3 linked regions of the Callithrix jacchus genome follow. The main gene of each other region encodes a partner of the protein of the gene in region 3 in a complex. Links are inferred from orthologs where the notes say so. Each region holds a gene or a part of one and is shown on either strand. Other genes may lie near its edges.

The links.
Region 1: the proteins of BMPR2 (region 3) and INHBB are in contact, whole or in part, in a crystal structure (PDB 7U5O), measured with the Homo sapiens proteins. The link is inferred for Callithrix jacchus from reciprocal best matches to the Homo sapiens genes BMPR2 and INHBB. Residues at the interface, in NP_001195.2 of Homo sapiens: Tyr40, Tyr67, Leu69, Val80, Lys81, Trp85, Ser86, His87, Ile88, Gly89, Asp90, Gln92, Ile108, Gln109, Tyr113, Phe115; in NP_002184.2 of Homo sapiens: Phe309, Asn318, Asp319, Ile322, Ala323, Pro324, Gly326, Tyr327, Tyr328, Thr379, Met380, Ser381, Met382, Leu383, Phe385, Asp386, Asn390, Ile391, Val392, Lys393, Asp395, Ile400.
Region 2: the proteins of BMPR2 (region 3) and BMP10 are in contact, whole or in part, in a crystal structure (PDB 7PPA), measured with the Homo sapiens proteins. The link is inferred for Callithrix jacchus from reciprocal best matches to the Homo sapiens genes BMPR2 and BMP10. Residues at the interface, in NP_001195.2 of Homo sapiens: Asp38, Ser64, Tyr67, Leu69, Lys81, Cys84, Trp85, Ser86, Ile88, Gly89, Asp90, Pro91, Gln92, Glu93, Thr103, Thr104, Pro105, Pro106, Ile108, Tyr113, Phe115; in NP_055297.1 of Homo sapiens: Tyr329, Lys333, Asp338, Ser339, Trp340, Ile342, Ala343, Pro344, Pro345, Gly346, Tyr347, Glu348, Glu395, Pro396, Ile397, Ser398, Ile399, Leu400, Leu402, Val407, Tyr409, Phe411, Ala417.

Annotation. Positions count from the first base shown.
Region 1 is NC_133507.1:104,926,664-104,933,092, reverse strand, and holds the end of INHBB (inhibin beta B chain), read right to left. Parts: intron 4,239-6,429; coding exon 3,463-4,238; 3' UTR 1,550-3,462; downstream 1-1,549. UniProt on the Homo sapiens protein: Inhibins and activins inhibit and activate, respectively, the secretion of follitropin by the pituitary gland.
Region 2 is NC_133515.1:45,061,207-45,068,413, reverse strand, and holds the start of BMP10 (bone morphogenetic protein 10), read right to left. Parts: upstream 4,256-7,207; 5' UTR 4,218-4,255; coding exon 3,884-4,217; intron 1-3,883. UniProt on the Homo sapiens protein: Required for maintaining the proliferative activity of embryonic cardiomyocytes by preventing premature activation of the negative cell cycle regulator CDKN1C/p57KIP and maintaining the required expression levels of cardiogenic factors such as MEF2C and NKX2-5.
Region 3 is NC_133507.1:123,697,370-123,704,150, reverse strand, and holds part of BMPR2 (bone morphogenetic protein receptor type-2), read right to left. Parts: intron 3,068-6,781; coding exon 2,895-3,067; intron 579-2,894; coding exon 1-578. UniProt on the Homo sapiens protein: On ligand binding, forms a receptor complex consisting of two type II and two type I transmembrane serine/threonine kinases.

The sequences.
Region 1 (6,429 bases), about 19 Mb from region 3:
AAGGAGAGCAGTGACCACAGCAGCACAGGAGACCCTGCTGGTGTGGGGACGTCCAGCGGAGACGGCGCCAGTGCCTGTCCTCACTGCCTCTCTCAGAAATAGGAACTGCTGTCCACCAGTGGCCCCAGGCCAGACCCCACAGGAACAGGTGCCAGCATAGGGCAGCAGAGTCACTCAGGGACCAGGTCAGCAAGCACCAAGGCCTTGTGCCCCTGGGGTTCCCAGGCTCTTCCTGGGGCTACTTCAAGACTTGTGGGGCCATCCTGTGATGCTCAGCCTGGAAAGGCCTGGGTAGGTGCTCAATGTTCAAACAGCAGAAGCACCTCAGTGAGTCATCTTGCACCTCCTGGCCACTACCTGAGAAAAGTCCCAGGGCAGCAGGGAGGCAGGGCTGGGCGGGGGGCCTGGTGCCGCCAGCAGCTACATCCAGCCCTAGCAGAGTAGAGGGCAGAGAGGCCGTGACTCACTGCCTGAAACGCAGAGGCCAGAACTGTCTTTGCGACACTTTCTTCTTTCCCCTGTGAATTACAGTAATACTGTTTCACCGCTTCCCAGATGACCAATCCTGCCCTCAGGCCAAAAGCCTGGCAGGGCAGTAGCTCCCTTGTTTGGGCAAAGAATGGAAAAAGACAGAGGTTAGAGGCTGCCTCCTGCCACCAGCTGGCTGTGCCGATTGAGCTACGCCCTTTAGCCATCTGGGCTTCCCTCAGTTTCCCACTACCTTGATGAGGTTAGATGATCCCTTAAAGTCCCACGTGCTCAAATGTCCTGAGCTCTGGGAAGACCTCATGCTACCCAAACCCCAAGGTAGAGCCCCAGCAGCCCTGCAGGGCCTCAGCGGAAGTCAAGGGCACACGGCTGCAGTCCTCCAGGGAAACAGGTGGGCTCAAATGTGCAGGGTCCCTGTCCTGGCTGTAACCTCAGGCAGGCTCTGAACGCTCTAAGCCTCAGACTTTCCCAAATCTGGGAAATGCAGACAAAGCCACTTTCCACAAAGGCACGATGCTGCACGGTAACAGGACTCGGCAGGTATCTCAGACCTGCGCAGCGGCCGTCGTTACTACACTGCCCCTACCACCACTCTCCACCACTCAGCCCCCTCAGGAAGGCCTCATTCCCACACTCACAGCCTGACTCTGTTTACCCTTCTATCCCAAATACTCTTCTGGGTCCCAGTCACCTGTAAATAGAGGTGAGCGGAGGTCAGCTAGACCTCAGCCTTTAGGGTTTTACAGCTCCATCTGGGGCTGGGGGCTTACCCAGCACTTTCAAATGGTAATGAATGTGGCCTTGGTGAAACGTAATCAGTCTTGGGACTAGAAGGGTAAACAAATGTGTAATTCATGAATTTGCTAATTGTCCTTCATTTTGATCTTCTGCCATTTTTCCTGGAATCTCTGCCTGACATCCATCTCGTGGCAAGGAAGCAGAGATGCCAGGAGCAGGCCAAGGAGATTGCTGGCATCCAAGGACACCTGGACTGGCCTTCCTCCCAGCTGCCCACCTCCAGCCCAGGCCTCCCTGACCCAGACATCACACAAGGCAGGAGGCCCGTGGCACTCAATCTTTTATTTTCTTAAACTGTACACAAACGTAAAATACTTTAACAGCAAGTCTATGGGAAAATTGTTTGGTTTTAAATTATTATGAAACAGAACCTAAGGGGAGCTTTATTAAATAAACATAAAGATGGGGATTTAAGGATACACACCTGCATTCTATCATAGCCATTTTTACTCTACCTTCTGGGTGTGTAAGGATAGAAAAGACACATCGAACCGAATAAACAAAATCCATTCATACCCTGAAACGTTGGCAGGCCACTCAAGGGACCGTTCAGAACGTCCACCTCACATCAGATGGCCTCACCGTCTAATAAAATTAAAACTGATCTGTTGGCCTCTTTGGTTCCAAAATTATGTATAATACATTTAACTGTATTCATTTTTTTGCTGCTATAAAAATAACTTCTTTTTTCAAATGGCAGTTTCTGACTAATCATGCAACTAAATCAGTGCAAACATTAAAAGCAATCATTCGCTTAAAAAAGAAGCAAAGGATTTCATTTCAAGTATAAAAAATATAAAAAGAGTCGTACGAGTCCAGTTTCATCTAGTGTGGGTCAACCCTTTAAATTGCATAGTTCACGTGGCACTTGGACATCTAGAGGGCGAGCGAGTTCGGTGCTCAGCCAAGGGCCACTTCTGGACACACGTGGATCGGCAAGTGCTGTGTCATGTGCCTTCAGGCAGGTCTGCAAGTGCTATGCGGGCAGGCAGGTGGGCAGGGGCCACGTCCATGGCCGGCCCTGATGGCTGGGGCCCACATGGGCAACTTCTACAAATCAGCTGAAAGCCTTCCCCATCTCTCCAAGACCAACTAAGCTGCTCCCTTCCCTCAGCCTCTGCTGAAGGGGCACCCTCCACCCTCAGCAGTTCAAGAATGCCTCCTCCCCACCGTTTCCCCCTGTGGTCTCATCCCCTTGCCTAGGGGTCATTCCCACCCCTCCCCAAAACAGTCCTAAAGGAATGTCCCCAGTGAAGGGCACAGATTGCAACTTTTTTCCTTTCCATTTAGAACAATTCAGATTTTCACTTCAAAGGTCATACCTGGTAGAAAAGTCCTTTTTCAGTTATACAACTGGCAAGGATGACCTGTCAATCGTTGGAGATCAGTTAAAGCATTAAATTTAGCCCCCTCTTCTCTCCCTCCCTCCCCACTCCAAAAAAACACACATAAGTCAAGTCAGAGGCCCAATCGACGAACAGTCACTTGCCCCTGCTCCCCGGTCTCTGATGGGTTATGTCCTTTCTGGGTCTCTTTCCCTTGGCAAGGGTGTGGGAGGACAGGCTCTCTTGGTCTTGAAGCACGAAGGATCCCAGGCTGGGGAAGAAGCAGATATTGAGCCGGAGATGTGGTGGCAGAGCAGGCCTGGTGAAAGCCACGGGGCACACACAGCCTCTGCCTGGCCGCGCTCCCCACCCTTGCATCTGCTTTTCCTCTCCGTGGCTCTCTCTCTCTCTGTGTGTGTCTCTGTCTTTGTGCTTTTATGTGTGCTCGGAAGGCGCAATTCAGAGTGGCCAGGCCAGCTGGTGGGAATGGTGGCTGCTCACCCCATTCTCTCCAACTGACAGGCATTTGTAGCTAAGCTGCCATTTGTCACCGCATCCATTTGCTGGTATCCTAGAGGCTGCTGTGTGGGTGGCAGGATGCGTCTGGCTGTGCGTGGCTACGTGTGCATTTTAAAGTATTTCATGTCAGTTGAGGGTTCTCGCTCTGGTTTTGACTGTTTGCTCTATGAAGTCGTAGAAGAATATCTCAGGCCGCACCCTGGCACCTTCTCCACAGCCCAACAGAATGACTGTGCCCAGCCCACCGTGCACCCCCGTTCCCGCGGGGGCTGGAAGAAGCCCACCCAGGACTGTCCTCCTCGCCCCAGCACCGTGCCCCCACCCTGCACTGTCAGGCACAGCCGCACTCCTCCACAATCATGTTGGGCACGTCCCGCTTGACGATGTTGTACTCATCATCAAAGTACAGCATGGACATGGTGCTCAACTTGGTGGGGATGCAGCAGGAGTTCACTGTGCCGGGGTTCAGGCCCCGCATGCGGTACTGGTTCACCACAGCCGTGTGGAAAGAGGAGGCAGAGCCGGGGACCCCTGCCAGATAGGCTGGGCAGCTGCCCTCACAGTAGTTCCCATAGTAGCCGGTGGGTGCGATGATCCAGTCATTCCAGCCGATGAGGCGGAAGTCAATGAAGAACTGTTGCCTGCAACAGAGGTTGGTCCGGCCATCGCACTCCAGGCCTCGCTTTCGAATGCGGTGCCTGCTGTCGCCCAGCCGAGCCTGCACTACCACAAAGGGCCTGTGTGACTCTTCCCCTGGGTCCACGAACACCGGCACCACGGCCAGCTCCTGGCAGCTGTCACACTGCACGTCCAGGTTGAGTCGCCGCTCGCCCCGTTCAAACAAGGCCTGGATGGCCTCTGTGAGTGGGAAGGTGTGCCAGCCGCTGCGCTTGAGGTCCACCCTCTTCTCCACCACGTTCCACCTGTCACCGTGGCCCTGCTCCTGGAAGTACACTTTGACCCGAACCTTCCGCCGGCTGCCCTTCTCCAGGACGTAGGGCAGGAGTTTCAGGTAAAGCCACAGGCTGGCCTGGACCACAAACAGGTTCTGGTTGCCTTCATTGGAGATGAAGAAGTACAGGCGGACCCGCGAGGAAGCGAGGCCATCTGCAGAAAAGGGGAAGAGCAGGCCAAGTTAACTCAAGGAGAACACGAGGCTATGGGGGAAACACACTCTCTGCTGCAGGATGCTGGAATGCAACTCGCCACACAGCTGGAAAACGTTATTAACCAGAAATACCGTTCTTGGGGCCAGGGCCTCTGACTGTAACCTGGGAGAGGCAGAGAAAATTGTTTCCCATTGAGAAACCCGGACCAGGTTGGGGCTGGAGGGTCCAGGCCTATAAAATCCTGCCTCACCTCTCCCAGGCCAGGGCTCCCTGGAGACAGGCTGTCAGGCCTCAAAGAACAACAGAAGAACTTGTCAGGGGGCCAAGATCTTAACAAGTTGTTATGGGTATCTGTGAAATCTGAAAAACAAAACCAGGATCGCAGGGGTGGGTGGTTTTAGTAGGGCTTTTTTTTTTTTTTTTTTTTTGGTTAACTTAATGCATTGCAAAATCAAGCTGAGCCACCTACCGCCTCTTTCCAGTGTTTACCTAAGTACGATCTGATCCAACCCCCAGTGGAACCTCCATTGCAAACAAGCAGCTCTACTCAGGTTTCTGACACAGGGACGTGTGCTTTGCAGGCTGCAGAGCCTGGCCCTTGTTTCCGAGTAGTTCCAAGGGACAGGACATTCAGCCTTGAAACTTGAGGTCCAATCCTTTGACAAGACTCTGGCTCCCCGTTAATGGCACGTTCAAAATCTCCAAGGAATAGGGGAGCTGGCTTGTTAATTTTCTCAATAATCCAGCTTAACAAGAAGAAAGCTGTGCCAATCAAGAGATGCCTCCCCTCTCATCCTACTTTTCCATGACCCTTCCCTCTGACAATCTACGTTTTTCTTTTCTTTTTTTATTTTTTCCACGAAGAACAAATAACGAAACTCTGTGGCCAGGGCTGGTTTTATCAAACCTCCCACCATGCCCCTCCCAAGCCCCCATCTCAGGCCTCGCCTGGCTCCTCTAATAACACTGACATCTGACTTTGAAATGGGGGAAACTGCGGCCTTAAAAGCTGGTCTTGGACGAGCTGCCTGTGACCTGAATCTGTTATTTATAAGTCAAAGAGCTGGCTCCGTGAAACGGACCAGAAATATAACAGCCCCCGCTGTCATTTTGTGCCACCGGGACCAAAAGGCCTCCTCGACCTTCCAGAATCACATTTCTAACTCTGGGCCCCAAAGCACCTTTTAATCCGAGCCCTCTAATTGCATGGCGAGCTTTCCCTGACTCACTTTAGTGGACAGCTAAAACGGCAATGCATTTCTTTCTAAGCACAAACCAGCCCCGATTGTCTCTGCTTTTCTCCACACCCGGCCATGCAAAACTTTTCATCCCTTTTCATCCCCAGGCTGCCTGCTGCCTGGGGGTGTGGGGGGGGGGCATCTGCAGCTAGGGGCACAACTGCTCCCCCACCCAGGCTCCCCGCTTGCCCCCGCCCTGACTGCACCGGGGCTTCCCCCTCTGCGACCTTCTCCGCAGTCCCCTCAGCACAAATGGGGCCGAGCTCCAGGCACAAAAGCCAGCCTGGCTCATTCAAGTCCTGAAAAGGACAGCGGAGTCGAAAGCACTTGCAGCATTTTGGCGCGGGCACATTTTTCTCCTTCTTTTAAAGTTCCGAAAGATTTTTCTCTCTCTGATTTTTATATTTAGACAGTGTTAGGGATTTGCAATCTGGGGCCTTAGGGTGGGTGGGGGGATTCCAGAAAGGAGCCAACCCCTTTGTTAACTACGACTCTGTGCCTCTCGGGCGAGGGGTCTGCTGCAGCTGCCAGGCTAGCCGAAAGGCACCCGGCTGTCCCCGAGCCGCGGCTTTCTCTGTGTAAATGATGGACCTGTTGAGAAGCCTGCCTTCCGCCCGATTCCGGTGCCCACACAATCGGAAGAGAGGTTGCCTAGCTCTCCCCAGCGAGGCTTCAGCAATCCTGGCAAGCCCACGCCGCCGGTGATGGAAGCGGCCCCAGGGGCCTCTCACGCAGGCACACACACACATACACACAGACACACACACACACACTCTCTCTCTCTCCCTCTCTCTCTCTCTCCTCCGGCCCACGTATATCAACAAGCACACACATCTTCATCCACACTGCTAAGCCTACACTTCGATCGTGGGAAACAAAAACATTAAGCAATCACCAAGCAAGTGCCCGCAGAGCCAGGGCCGCGCGCATCTGCCGGGAGGGGGACGCGCG
Region 2 (7,207 bases), on a different chromosome or scaffold from region 3:
GGTAAAGTTTTATTGGAACACAGCCTCATACATTGTTTTTGTATTGTCTATGGCTACTTTTGCACTACAATGGCAGAGTTCAATAGTCACAACAGAGAGCATATGGCCTTCAAAGCTTAAAATAGTTATTATCTGTCTGACCCTTTACAGAATAAGCTTGCTGACTTCTGTTCTCAGCAACAAAACCTGACAAGGTCAATAAGACAGCCATAAACCAAGAAGGTCACAGCAGTCGATTTTGAGTATATGGTCCTCTGTAAAGAGGAATGGGAGAAAATGAATCCTGGAACTAGAGTGGTTGCCTTAGTCTTATACCCCTAGCACTACTCTTATACCCCTAGCACCTGGCATGAAGTATGGTACATACAACTCACTCAAGAATGTTTATGAAACAACTCTGTAAAAGTCTTAGAAGCACACTTCTAATCTTAGTCTTGGAAGCATACCTCCAAATACTGTCATGTTGACTTCCTATCTGAAGTTACAGTGAGCCCAAAGCTTCTGCATACTTGTCTCAGGTAATGAGCATATAAGGAAGCCCTGAAGGCATTTGCCATCAGATTCTCAAAGGGATCCACAGCACCAAAGATGCTAAGGACCACCAATTTAGAAATTCTCTGTCATCTTTGGCAGCATTTCACCAAGTATATACTTAATTCATGATCTCAGTGAGTCCCTGTTGCAGATTATAATCTTTTAATATTTTCCTTTAACTTGCTCTGATTATTTTGCACTTATTATCTATTTTAGACTTATCCTAAGCAACATCATTCATAAAAGGAGAGATTTGAGGTGATACTTATGTGTGTTTGCTAAAATCCACATGAAATGATTTCACATAATTAATAGCTTTCTATGGGTACCACCTAAAATCATCTTACACATTGTCAGTGGGAAATGCTAACCTACTGAATGAATTTAAACTCCCTGGCATGGCTCTCAAGGTCAGCTATATCTGGGTCTTAGCCTCCAGATCAGCCATGGCTTCCATAAATGCATGGAACATTGTGATCACTCAATAATATTTGTGAACAATTGAATGGATTTGTAAACCCTTCTGTTTCAACTACATTGACATCTTTACCACCTGTCAAACATTCTTTTTTCCCCTGTAATTTTCACCTTTTCACATGTTCTTCTGACCCTTGGAAAGCCCTTTCACCTCACCTCCACCTATCCAACTCTGACATCTATAAAAGCCTCCCTTCCTTACTTCTCTTTCTGAAAGTTCCCTCCCTCCCCTCTGAATCACTTGAGCACTTTATATCTCCTTTGATCCTTGTCATTTACAACCTTGTATTTCAGTCATCTTTTTATGAATGGATTTTCCCAACTAGACTCCCATCCTCCTGGTATGAATGGCTCAAAACTCCCTTCTATGTCTCTATCCTACTATAAGGGCTTAAACAGAGGTAGTGCTTTAAAAATATTGATTAGCTGATGATTTTAGGCATCAGATTAAATTGATTTATGGGCATGACATATGACCTTAATCCATCATCAAGCTCTTAAGTCAGTGGCTTAGGATTTATTCTCCCAGTCTAAGAAGGGAGGAGACTTGTCTCCCCATGGACAGGGAACATGAGAAGACCCAAAATGGAGGAATAGGCTGGTTGTTCTACCCAGGAGAGAAGTATAGAATAAAAGCTCACTGTAGTAGGAGGAAGGCAGTAAAGCATACAAGGAAGCTTTTGGTGCTAATGGATAAATTCATGATCTTGATTGTGCTGATGATTTCAATGAATGTTTACAGAGGTCAAAACCTTTCCAATTATACACTTTAAATATGTACAATTATACTTTTATACATCAATATTTTTATATGTCTTATTTTCTATAAGTAAATTATGCCTCAATAAAACTGTTTTGAAAAAGTAAGTTCACTGGGAAGTTTTGTGAATGTGCAAATGCAGTAAGCAGTAAATGGAAGAGTTACATTTCAGGGCAAGAGAACTAATGTTTGTTGACAAATTTCTCATGCCAGGTGCTTTGCAAGCATGATCTTCTCTGGTTCTCACAATGACCCCACAATGCAGGTATTGATTCTCTACCCATTTTGCACCAGAAGAAATCAAGCCCTGATGCAGAGAACTGACTTCCCCAGATGACAAGGTGATAAAGGAACAGTGCTAGGAATTGAGGGCATGCTTTTTTCACATTGGAGGTGGCACTTTTTTCCCAAGATGAGATAGGTTTTGACTTTTTTTTTTTTTTGTCTTTGTCTCCTAGGGAGCTGCATTAAGCAGACCCAAAGAGTCAGAAAAGAGGCAATAGTAGCTAGCAAGGCATGCCCTGTGCAGTGATTTCTGTCCTCAGGCTGCACAGTTGTTTACTGGAGATGTGTTCCTGCCCTCAATAATCTCCAGGATTAATAAGTACAGTAAACTCCAGATACTGACCTGAGTTATCCAGATACTCTTTGAGAGAAGTAGGAACTGAAAACTTTTCTACTTTTCTGGGGATGCAAATAACATTTTCTCACCCATACCCTAGTTCACCTGAACCAGACACTTAGGGCTCAGTTTTGAGAAGTATTGGGGTGGGGGGGATTCTCACAGGAGGAGGTTATTCATTTTCAATTCAGACTCACCTCCAAAAGGAATCTGTAATCTCAGCTTGCCATTTCCATGAGAAAGATGTTATGAAATAGAACTTTTGGCGGCCAACTCAATTTTAAAGGCAAACAACATCTTAGGGACTAAGGAATACCCACTCAGCATTTATTCCAGCAGCTAGAATATTAAGTAACTCATTAGTAATCACTGAAGTTTGATCAGCACTTCATAGCAAATGGAGTACTTTCTTACCTGTAACCTCTTTTGAATCACTCAACTTTTTTATGCAGGTATTATTACCCCCGCTTTACAGATGAGGAAATTGAGAGTCTGAGACATGAGCTAATTATTCACAACCACTAAGCCAACCAGCTCTCAAAATTCCATATCCTGAGCTGTTTCTTCACCACTGCCTTTCTTCTTTCAAGAACATCTGGCCAATATTAATCAGAAGCCTCTTTTGTACCTGGTTAGTGACTATAATGGTATAATTGGCAAATATTAAAGAATTAGTTATTTGGACCTTCAGCTTCTATCATAGGTATCTAGATATCAGGATTTTCTTTCCCCTGATAGGATCAAATTAAGCTATTAAGAAAAAAAATTAACTCATTAGATTTAGCTACCAAATTTAAACACCTAGGAGAAGAAAACACACTTTTCTCACCAATAATTCAATCTTGTACATCACTCTTCATGAAGATGGAAATGATGAGCTGGATGATTAATGGGCCAATCACACTTCCTGGAAACTGTAAACAGTGCTTTAAGGATGTACATGACACATCAAACAACACAGCCTTAGGAAGAATCTCTAAAATATATTTCCATACTGTTTGAACATTTCTTAAACAACATCACAAAATAAAAACATCAAAAGTTTGAACAAAACACACATCACAACTTGATGTTTTTTGACTGTTTTTATTCTTTTTATTCTAAGTGGAAGTTGAGAAATTTTTTAGTTAATTAAACACCTAGGCAACCAAGGCCTATCTGGAAAATGGCAAAGATACGGCAACATTAATGCTTTGTATTACTTGGTGTTCAAATTAACATTTTTTAAAAGAACCCAATTATAATGTCAAATTGATAGGTGTTTTGTGGCTTTGGGTTGTTTGTAAAAGATGTTTGTAAGTATTTTTGAGGTTCTGAAATGACTGCATAAATAGTATAGACCAAATCGTACCTTGTTTTTGTGTATCCATATGTATTTAACATCCTTATATAGATGTATTTACCTTTACCTATATCATTCCCAGGCATTGTAAATTTACTTATTGTGTCTTGAAAAAATTCCAAGCCAAATTTCATCAGCAAAAACTTACCTTCATTCTTGAAACTCCTAATGATGTTGGCAGAGGGCATGGAGGTTCGATCTGTTGCAAATTTGTTATAGAGTTCCAGCATGTACTCTGGTGGGTCTACCTTGGCTGAATCCTCCGTGGGGATGTCAGACAGGTTTAGTGTCTTGAGAAACTCATTCTTCATGCTCTGGAGCAATGTGCTAAAGTCAACACCATCTTGCTCTGAGAAAACATCATCAAAGAGGGGCACATCTTCTTCTAGAGGAGACTGGTCTAGGCTCATGATGGGGCTGCCAGAAACCAAGTGAGCCACCAGGCAGAGAAGAGTGCACAGTGTCAGGACCGGAGAGCCCATGACTCCGCTCAAGCCCCTAGGCCAAGCCAGGAAGGTTTAGCTCTCCTGGGCTCTAAGTGGCAGTTTTATCTTGTGGGGCGTAATTGTCTCCTGTCACTGGAGACAAGTTTGGAAACTCTTCCTCTCTCTCTTCCTCCCCCTACCACTCTTCCTCTCCCCCTAAAAGTCAGGTTGCAGTAATTGGATAACAAAATCCCCTATAGGGGCCTAGCCTTTCTTATCTCCCTAGTGTAAACTTGTGCACCAGAATTTGTTTCTATCTTGTAATCCCTATTTCTTTTAATGAGCATTTTGTAAACATTTTCACATTCTGACACTGGTTGAAAGATAGGACAATTTTCTCCTTGCAAAGGCTCTGCTTCTCTTCCCTTTGATTCACTTCCTTTCAGCAGGAATGTCTAAATTCCGTTTTTATAGGCTTAGTTTCACACATACATATAATAGGTATAAGAAGCAACATAATGCACATCAGTTAATAGGTATAAGAAGCAACATAATGCACATCAGTGGTGATACATATCAATTTGAGTGGTAGGGCCTACATCCTCAAATAAATACTTCTGAAGACAGATCAAATGTCCAAACTTTCATTCAGCTATAAATGAATTTATATAAATTTTTCCAAGCATTCATTTTTAGAAACAAGAAAGTATAAACTTTATGATCCATAGTCTCTTTCCTACCTATTTGATCTGGCTAAAATGGCATTTGAAAAATAGGGCAAGTCCTTAATTATAGTGGCAACTAAAATTTAGTAGATGTTCCTACAATCAGGCATTGTACTGAGTGCTTTACGTCTATCGTCTAGCATGCTCCTGCAATAACCCTATCACTATCTCCATCACATATATGGGTCAGTAAGGTTCCATAGATTGCCAGAGGCCAAAAAGTTGTAAGATGATGGAGCCACTGTTTGAACCAAGGCAGTCTGATTCTGATGAAAAAGAAAACAGTTCACACCTTTAAACCACTTATATTTCACCAGACTAGGGCATGGGCAATAATGGTGAGAGGCCAACCCATCCCCAGATCAGCCTGGAGGCAGGAGGCAGACAGCAGTTTGCAGCTGGATGTGTACCTCAGGTCCTCCACCTGTGCAAAGAATTCTTAATATGACCAGCATCTCTGCCAACTTCGTCCTTCTGACTCAATCAGAATTGTCATCTAGAGGCTCCAGCAAAAGCTTGGTGTGATGGTTAATACTGATTGTCAACTTGATTGGATTGCAAGATGCAAAATATTGATCCTGGGTTTGTCTGTGAGGGCGTTGCCAAAGAAGATTGACATTTGAGTCAGTGGGCTGGGGAAGGCAGACCCACCCTTAATCTGGGTGGGCATCATCTAATCAGCCACCAGTGAGGCTAGAATATAAAGCAGGCAGAAAAATGTGAAAAGACTAGACTGGCCTAACCACCCAGCCTACATTTTTGTCCTGTGCTGGATGCTTCCTGCTCTCAAACATCAGATTCCAAGTTCTTCAATTTTGAGACTTGGACTGGCTCTCCTTGCTCCTCAGCTTGTGCACAGCCTATTGTGGGACCTTGTGATCGTGTGAGTTAATACTTAATAAACTCCCATATATATGTGTGTGTGTGTGTGTGTGTGTGTGTGTGTGTGTGTGTGTGTGTGTGGACGTTGAGTCAAATCTCTGTCCCTCTAGAGAACTCTGACTAATACACTTCGCAAACATTACCAGGCACACAAAAAATGCCAAATGCCTTGGTCCTAAAAATTTTTTAATGGTATAGTTGATTGTGTGTACAGATTAGGAAAGACAAATCAGGTTCATCACATTTTCCACCCTAACTAGTGACAGTAGCAGCCGTGGTACAGCCAGAGTGGCCCTGTGGACAACCCCAGGGGATGTTTCTCCCCCTGAGGTGGTAGTACTGGTATCTTTCTGACTTGCCCAGTGCGCACCCTGTTCCATTACTGATACATCCTGTGCTGTTCAGAGGGCTCTGTGGAGATACTCAGTTCACTGGAATGCTTTCTCAGTTTCTATCTTAAATTATCCTATGTTGATTCTAATTGATTAGCTACAATGTTTCCACTTGGCTTTTCCTCCAGGCTCCCTTAGGTTTCTAGTCATCTTCTGATTCTTTTTCCTCCTAAAATGTACAGTGTTACAGCCATTTTTTTATCACCATAGAAAGAACCATATTTTGTTTAGTAGCTATTAATTGTCCATTTGTTTAATAGCTGTTGATTTTGGTTTAATGTTCGATTTTGATTCAAACTTTTGCTCCCGTAGTGAAAAGACAACTGTAGACTGGAGACAGATTATATCCTGAATAGTCCCACAAGTGAGTGAGTCCAAGGGCCAGAAGCCTTCCCTCGGATGGTTTGTTTTAACATGAGGTTCCTGACAGCATACCAACAATGCCTTGTATCATGTCTTGCATCCAAGTAAGCACCCATTTATCTTTATACACACACAGATGTCAACGCACACTCCAAAACTCTGAATGTCAGGCATGTGTGTGTAACTGCCACAGGACAGCTGTGTAAGTGGAGGCACATATAACCTCTGAGCACACTGATTTCAAAGGTCATAGGGAGAGACATACATCCCACATTGCAGAGTTCTAGTTCTTGACGCTCTTGGGCATAAAAACGTTAACTGAGACTTCAGTGGCTTACCTATACTTGGTGTTAGAAAAACTAAAGGGTTAAATATTTGGATCCATGTTTATCTTTGGGGATGATTAAGAGATACAGTGGGGAAATGACTATAGCCATAGGAAAATGACTATAGCCATATATCAGATATCGCAAGATATCAGAATATCATGAGATGCATGCTCGGTGAAGGTTCTTAAACCCACACCTGTGCTGGGTGGACAAGGAAAGAGGTTGGCTTCATGCTTGGAAGAAGGGGACATACTCTCCCTCCTTCTTCTAGGCCTGGGACACCTCACATCTTAGTCACAGAGTCTCTTTATGCCATGTTTTTCTCTAGAAGCTTTTTCTGATGACTCTTTTTTTTT
Region 3 (6,781 bases):
CCTGCTGTCCAGTTGCTTCTACTGCAAGTTTTATGAGTGGGTAAAGCAAGCTAGAACTAGTACTGCTCAGTGGGTCTGGCCCACTGAACTGTTTAAGAGAATGCTCCATCAGATTCTCGTCAGAGCTTTCCTTGAGGTTCTTATCAACTTCTTTTGGGTCTAGTTTGTTGGTCTCCAAGTCTTCTTCTGTCAGCTGTAAGCAGACAGGGGTTGGCCCAATTGATTGTGCAACATTTGTGGCATGCAGATTTGTTTCATCTGGGTATGGCATCTCAGATATAGTGGTCATGCCAGTACTTGGAGTGAGGCCTGTGGTGTTTGTGGTTGTTGTGTTGGTGGAGAGGCTGGTGACACTTGTTTCAGGGCTGGGGATTCGAGCTTGTGCTTGCTGTCGTTCATAGTTAATTGAATTTCGGTTCTTTTCCCCTATAGTCAAAGGTGTGCTGGACATAGAATGCTCAGAGGAAATATTCTTCACAATGCTGTCAGTGTGATGGATAGAGTCTTCAATGTATGAGGAGGAAGAATAATCTGGATAAGGACCAATTTTTGGCACACGCCTATTATGTGACAGGTTGCTTAAAGAAAGAAAAAAAGTGTCACATTGAGAACAGACATTTATGACAAACTGTCTCTCCAAGTTTAACACCTCTGATTTTAAAGTCTGAGCTGTTTTTCATTTTCTTCCAAACATATATTTTTCTAAAGGTTAGTTAAAAAGTCTAATCAAATAATCAAGTATCAATTAATAACTTAAGTGTTAGTTTTAGATGAATAAAGCCTACTGAAAAATTTATGTGAATCAGATATGATTTTTATAAATGTCCATTATTTTGGTTTATAAGAGTTAATTAAAAAATCTCTCCTATAGTTTTATAACATCACAAAATATCTATTTATGAACTGTATATTCATACAACCAGACATTATGTTTTATGAAAGGAAGAATCATGGCATATGTTTCTTTTTTACTTCCATAATTCTAGATGCATAGTACCTACTCAAAAGGTATGTTGTCAATTATCTTCCAATGGCCAAATGGTAAAAAGAATATAAGCTTTTAGGTTGTTCCAAAGGCCTCCATTAAGAGGCATGCCCTAGCAATGGCACATATCTTTCTGGAGTAGTCTGAGCCATTTGAGCAAAAGTCCTTGAGCCCAAGGTATAAGGAAGAATGTGATGTTCAAATAAAGAACCAAAGATTCAGAACTGCTCTCTAATTATCATGGGTTTTTCACTGTCATTGTCATTCCTTGGGAGTGACAGTTATTTATAAGGGAGATGACAGGAGGAAAAGAAGAAAGAGTTGTTAAACAGTACAAGAAAAGGAAGCTAAGGAGACATGGAGGGTAAGATTCAGTAAAATAAAACGTAGAGTTAGAGTAACTATGGGAAATCATTAGTAGAGACCGGAGATGAGAAGATGCATGGAGAAGGTCAAGCTGAATGACATGGGAGGCAAAAAAATGGCCAAATCAAGGTGGGGCATCAAGGGTTTCTTTTCTTACCATTAAAGAAAAGTTTGAAAGCATTCGAAGTAAAAGCTTTAGCTGACTTTTGAGAAAAGTATAAACACCATACTAGAGGACATGGGAAATACAGAGATGAGGGGAGATGAAAGCAGAAGACTGTCCTCAGGTATGTTGAAAGTGAGAAAACTTATGATTACAATTGCCAGTGTCTACCTTTCCTGACTTGCTGATATATAAGGTATAAGTTTATATCTGAAACTAATTTAACCTATACAAAAGTAGTACAAACCACATTTTTTACCTATGGCTAATATAAATAGCTTTCACAAATTAGAACAACAGAAAATAGGCCAGGCACAGTGGCTCACAGCCAGGCACGGTGGCTCACGCCAGCACTTTAAGAGGCCAAGGCAGGTGGATCACCAGAGGTCAGGAGTTCACGATCAGCCTGGCTAACATGGTGAAATCCCATCTCTACTAAATATACAAAATTAGTTGGGCCTGTAATTAGGTGGCTCATGCTTGTAATCCTAGCAACTGGGGAAGCTGAGGCAAGAGAATCTCTTGAACCCAGGAGGGGGAGATTGCAGTGAGCCAGGATTGCGCCACTGCACTCCAGCCTGAGTGACAGAGTGAGACTCAGTTCCCCCTCCCCCCAAAAAAGTTTCAAGAATCAAGTGTATTTTTATTTCAATTTTCGCCAGTACCGCTTTCCTGGATGCCTTTCTGAAAGTTTTAAACATGTATTAGACAAAATGACAAAGTCATAGAAAGGCTTTCTTTTCTCCCAAACATGGAACAAAGAAATACAGACGTAGAAAGTTCCAAATTGTAGTGATTTTTTTTAAAGTCTCTTTATTTAAAACCAAAAATCATAGTTCTAATAAAGGAAATGTCTTATAAAATAATATTCATGATGGAATAGAAAGACCTTTGAATTGCTTTCATGTAGTAGTAGTGTATTCTATAAGAAAGAGTATTAGATAGAAAGTCTAGAAACGGTAGCATCAGTGACAGTCGTTAGATAGGCAAGTTCACAGTTCTATTGACTTAAGGAAAAAAGCAGAGGAGGAAGGAATAATAACAACAAAGGATAAATGAGACAATTTATATAGAAGTGCTTATGAACTTTTAGTTATTAAAATGTTTTACCTTTATTATTGCAGGAAAGTTAGACCATAGAGAAATACTAAGTTCTTTCACTATATTTTTACATATAAAAAAAAATGCAGATTTCATTTTGTACTTATACCAAACAAAAATGTTCAGTAAATAGGAATACTGAAAGACAAATGATAACTTTAGATTGTACGAGGTAATCATTGAACCATTAGGCTGGTTTAACAGTATTTGTTTTCTATTCTTTGTTAGGTCTCAGTTTCTAATACTGATTGATAGATGCCACACCCCTTAGGGTCTTACCGTTCATTCTGCATAGCAGTAGACATTGGATTGACTGTTGGGCTCACAGATTTGTTTCTTTCCCAAATCATCATAAGTTCAGCCATCCTTTCCTCAGCACACTGTGCAGTAAGCCGAGCCTCTGCATCCTGGTCCCAACAGTCTTCGATTGTCTCCTTGAGTGACCTCACTGCCTGTAAGACAAAGTACATGTCAAACTGTGTGTCTTTAAAAAAAAGTATCGAGCTTTTCAGTTCACAATATGAGGTAAAAGAAAAATCAATTTCCCTAACCAGTATTTTACATACAATAACATATTTTAGGCTTCAAGGATTTGTAAAGGAACACATTCTCAAAAGGCGATGAACAAGTAAGCAAGCAAGCAAGATTTAATTTAACTCCCTGAAGAATTATTCACAAAAGTAAACAACAGTAAGTCGCAGATGTTTTTTCAAGGCCACAGGTTTATGTCATTGTTGTTAATTCACAGTTCTGTTATTTCAATCGATAGCCACTAATTCCGCCTCAAAAATAAGTTTTGAGTTTGATGGAATTTGGGGCATTTGGCTATCTTCTATCTCTAGGTGAGCTTTTCTCCTTTTCCCTTAGTTAAGAGTGCTTGGCTAGGCACAGTGGCTCACACCTATAATCCTAGCACTTTGGGAGGCTGAGGCAGGCCAATCACCTGAGGTCAGGAGTTTGAGACCAGTTTGGCTAACATGGCGAAACCCCATCTCTACTAAAAACATAAAAAAATTAGCTAGCATGGTGGTGTGCACCTGTAGTCCCAGCTACTTAGGAGGCTGAGGCAGGAGAATTGCTTAAACCTGGAAGGCAGGGGTTGCAGTGAGCCAAGATTGTGCCACTGCACTCCAGCCTGGTGACAGAGTGAGACTCTGCCTTAAAAGAAAAGAAAAAAAAAAAGAGTGCCTCATTCCAACCTTAAAATTTACAGACATGTCTTCTTTAAACTAGTTCCACAGCAGTAGTATCAAAAACAGTCCCATGCTGTAGTACTCCTATACATTAGCAATGAACAACAGTCTCTCTTTTGGGGAAAGCTAGTTTTAACTCCCTTTTTAAAAACAGACTTTGAATAGTTTGGTAGACTGTCATCTATAATCCCTTCAGACTTGTTTCAATTAAGCTTTAAGCTTTGTGCCTGCTCTGATATTTACATTTCCTGTACCTTTACTTTCTTTTTTTTTTTTTTATTTTGTAGGAAGGGAGGAAGGCAGGAAGGGAGGGAGGGAGGAAGAAAGGGAGTGAGGGAGGGAGGGAGAGAAGGGAAGGAAGGAAATCAGGCAATGAGAAAGACATTGCCAACCTGGATCTGGAGGTCTACAAGTTGATTTCTTTTTTTCTTTTTTTTTTTTGAGAGAAGGAAAGAAAAAAAAGGAGTGAAGGAGAGGAAGAAAGAGGAAGAAAAAGAGGGAGAGAGAATGGAAATGTTGCTTTATTCTAAAAAAAATGGGTATTAATAATGGCCAATCAATGTTTCATTTAAACTTATGAGTAGGTGTGATGTGGTATGGACAAGAATGTATATTTTGTGGATTTGAAGTGGGGAGCTCTATAAATATTTATTAAGTTTACTTGTTCTGGATCTGAGTTCGAGTCCTTGATATCCTTATTAATTTTCTGTCTCACTGAGTCTAAGTCTTTATGTATCTGGGTGTTAGGATCGTTAGCTTTTGTTGTTGCATTGATCCTTTTACCACTGTATCTTTGTTGCTTTAAAATCTATTTTATCCGATACAAGATCTGCAATGCCTGCTTTTTATTTATTTATTATTTATTTTTGCTCTCCATTTGGTTGGTAAATCTTTCTCCATCCCTTTGTTTTGGGTCTTTGTGTATCCTTGCATGTGAAACGGGTCTGGATGTAACATGCCGTTGGGTTTTGGCTGTGTCTTTTGATTGGGGGATTTAGTCAATTTAAATTTAGGGTTACTGCCATTTGATGTTAACTCGCTGTTTGATCCATTCGTTGGTGTAAATTCTTCTTTATGTTGGTGCTCTTTACTTTTTGGTATATTTTGAGAAAGGCTAATACTGGTTGTTTCTTTCTATGTGTAATGCTTCTTTCAGAAGCTCTTGTAAAGCAGGCCTGGTGGTAATAAAATCTCTGAGTTCTTGCTTGTTCATAAAAGATTTTATTTTTCCTTCAGTTGTGAAGTTTAGTTTGGCTGGATATGAAATTCTGGGCTGAAGGTTCTGTTCTTTGAGGATGTTGAATATTGGCCCCCACTCTCTTCTGGCTTGTAGAGTTTCTGCTGAGAGATCTGCTGTAAGTCTGACAGGCTTGCCTTTGTGGGTAACCTGACCTTTCTCTCTGGCTGCCCTTAGTAATTTCTCCTTCGTTTCAACCCTGGTGAATCTAATGATTATGTGCCTTGGGGTTGCTCTTCTTGAGGAATATCTTTGTGGTGTTCTCTGTATTACCTGGGGTTGAATATTGACCTGCTTTGCTAGTTTAGGAAAATTTTCCTGAATAATATCCTGAAGGGTATTTTCCAGCTTGGATTCATTCTCTCCGTCGCATTCAGGTACACCTATCAAACGTAAATTTGGTCTTTTCACATAGTCCCACATTTCTTGGAGACTTTGTTCATTCCTTTTTATCCTTTTTTCTCTAATCTTTTCTTCACATTTTATTTCATTAAGTTGGACTTTGACCTCTGATATCCCTTCTTCTGCCTGAACAATTCGAGTGTTTAAACCTGTGCATACTTCTCGGAGTTCCTGTATTGTATTCTTCAGTTCCATTAATTCATTCATACTCCTCTCTAAGTTGTCTATTCTCAATAGGATTTCATCAAACCTTTTTTCAAAGTTCCTAGTTTCTTTACATTGGGCTACAACATGTTCTTTTAACTCACCGAAGTTTGTTATTATCCATTCCTTGATGAGTACTTCTGTCATCATTGGGATGTGCTCGTTCTCCATCAAGCCTTGTTCCATTGTTGATGTGGAACTGTGATCATCTTTAGAGGGAGAGGCATTCTGACTTTGAGTATTCTCAGCTTTTTTACGCTGGTTTCTTCCCGTCATTGTAAATTTATCCTCCTGTCGTCTTTGAATTTACCAACTTTCAGATTAGGTCTCTTGAGTGGACGTCCAGGTTGTTAGTTCCCAGGGCCAGAGCAGCGTCGTTAAAACTGATGGTGCTTTTCTTCCCAGGATTCTCCTGTCGGGCTTCCTTCTTGTGTCCGTAGTAGGTGACTCTGCCTTCCCGGGGCTCCAAACCTCGGTCAGAAGGGGAACCGTTTACTCTGCGCCGAGCGCTGCCACGCCGAGGTGCCATCACAGCCTCTACACCGGGCTCTGGTGTTGTGCTGGGGACCTGTGCGGGTCCTCCAAACCTGTTTACTCTGCTCTGAGAGCTGCCGAGCCAAGGTGCCGGCCGGAACCGCTGTGCCGGCCACGAGAGTTGCGCTGGCGACCCGTGTGTTTCCTCCACTGGGGATCAGTCGCTCGGTGAACGACCAGAATTTGTCTGAAAGTGTGGCGTCCTCTAGTTCTCAGCGCCTTCACTGAGAGGTGCAATCCCGGGATGTTAGCAATCGGCCATCTTGGATCGTCACCCCTAATTTATTTTTTGAGACAGGGTCTTGCCCTGTCTTCCAGGCTGGAGTGCAGTGGCACAATCTCGGCTCACTGTAACCTCTGCCTCCTGGGTTCAAGTGATTTTCCTGCCTCAGCCTGCCAAGTAGCTGGGATTACAGATACCTGCCACCATGCCTGGCTAATTTTTGTATTTTTAGTAGAGACGGGGTTTCACCATGTTGACCAGGCTGGTCTTGAACTACTGACCTTGGGTGATCCACCTGCCTCAGCCTCCCAAAGCACTGGGATTACAGGCAGGAGCCACCACACCTGGCCAAAACTCCCCAAATTTAGTAAAA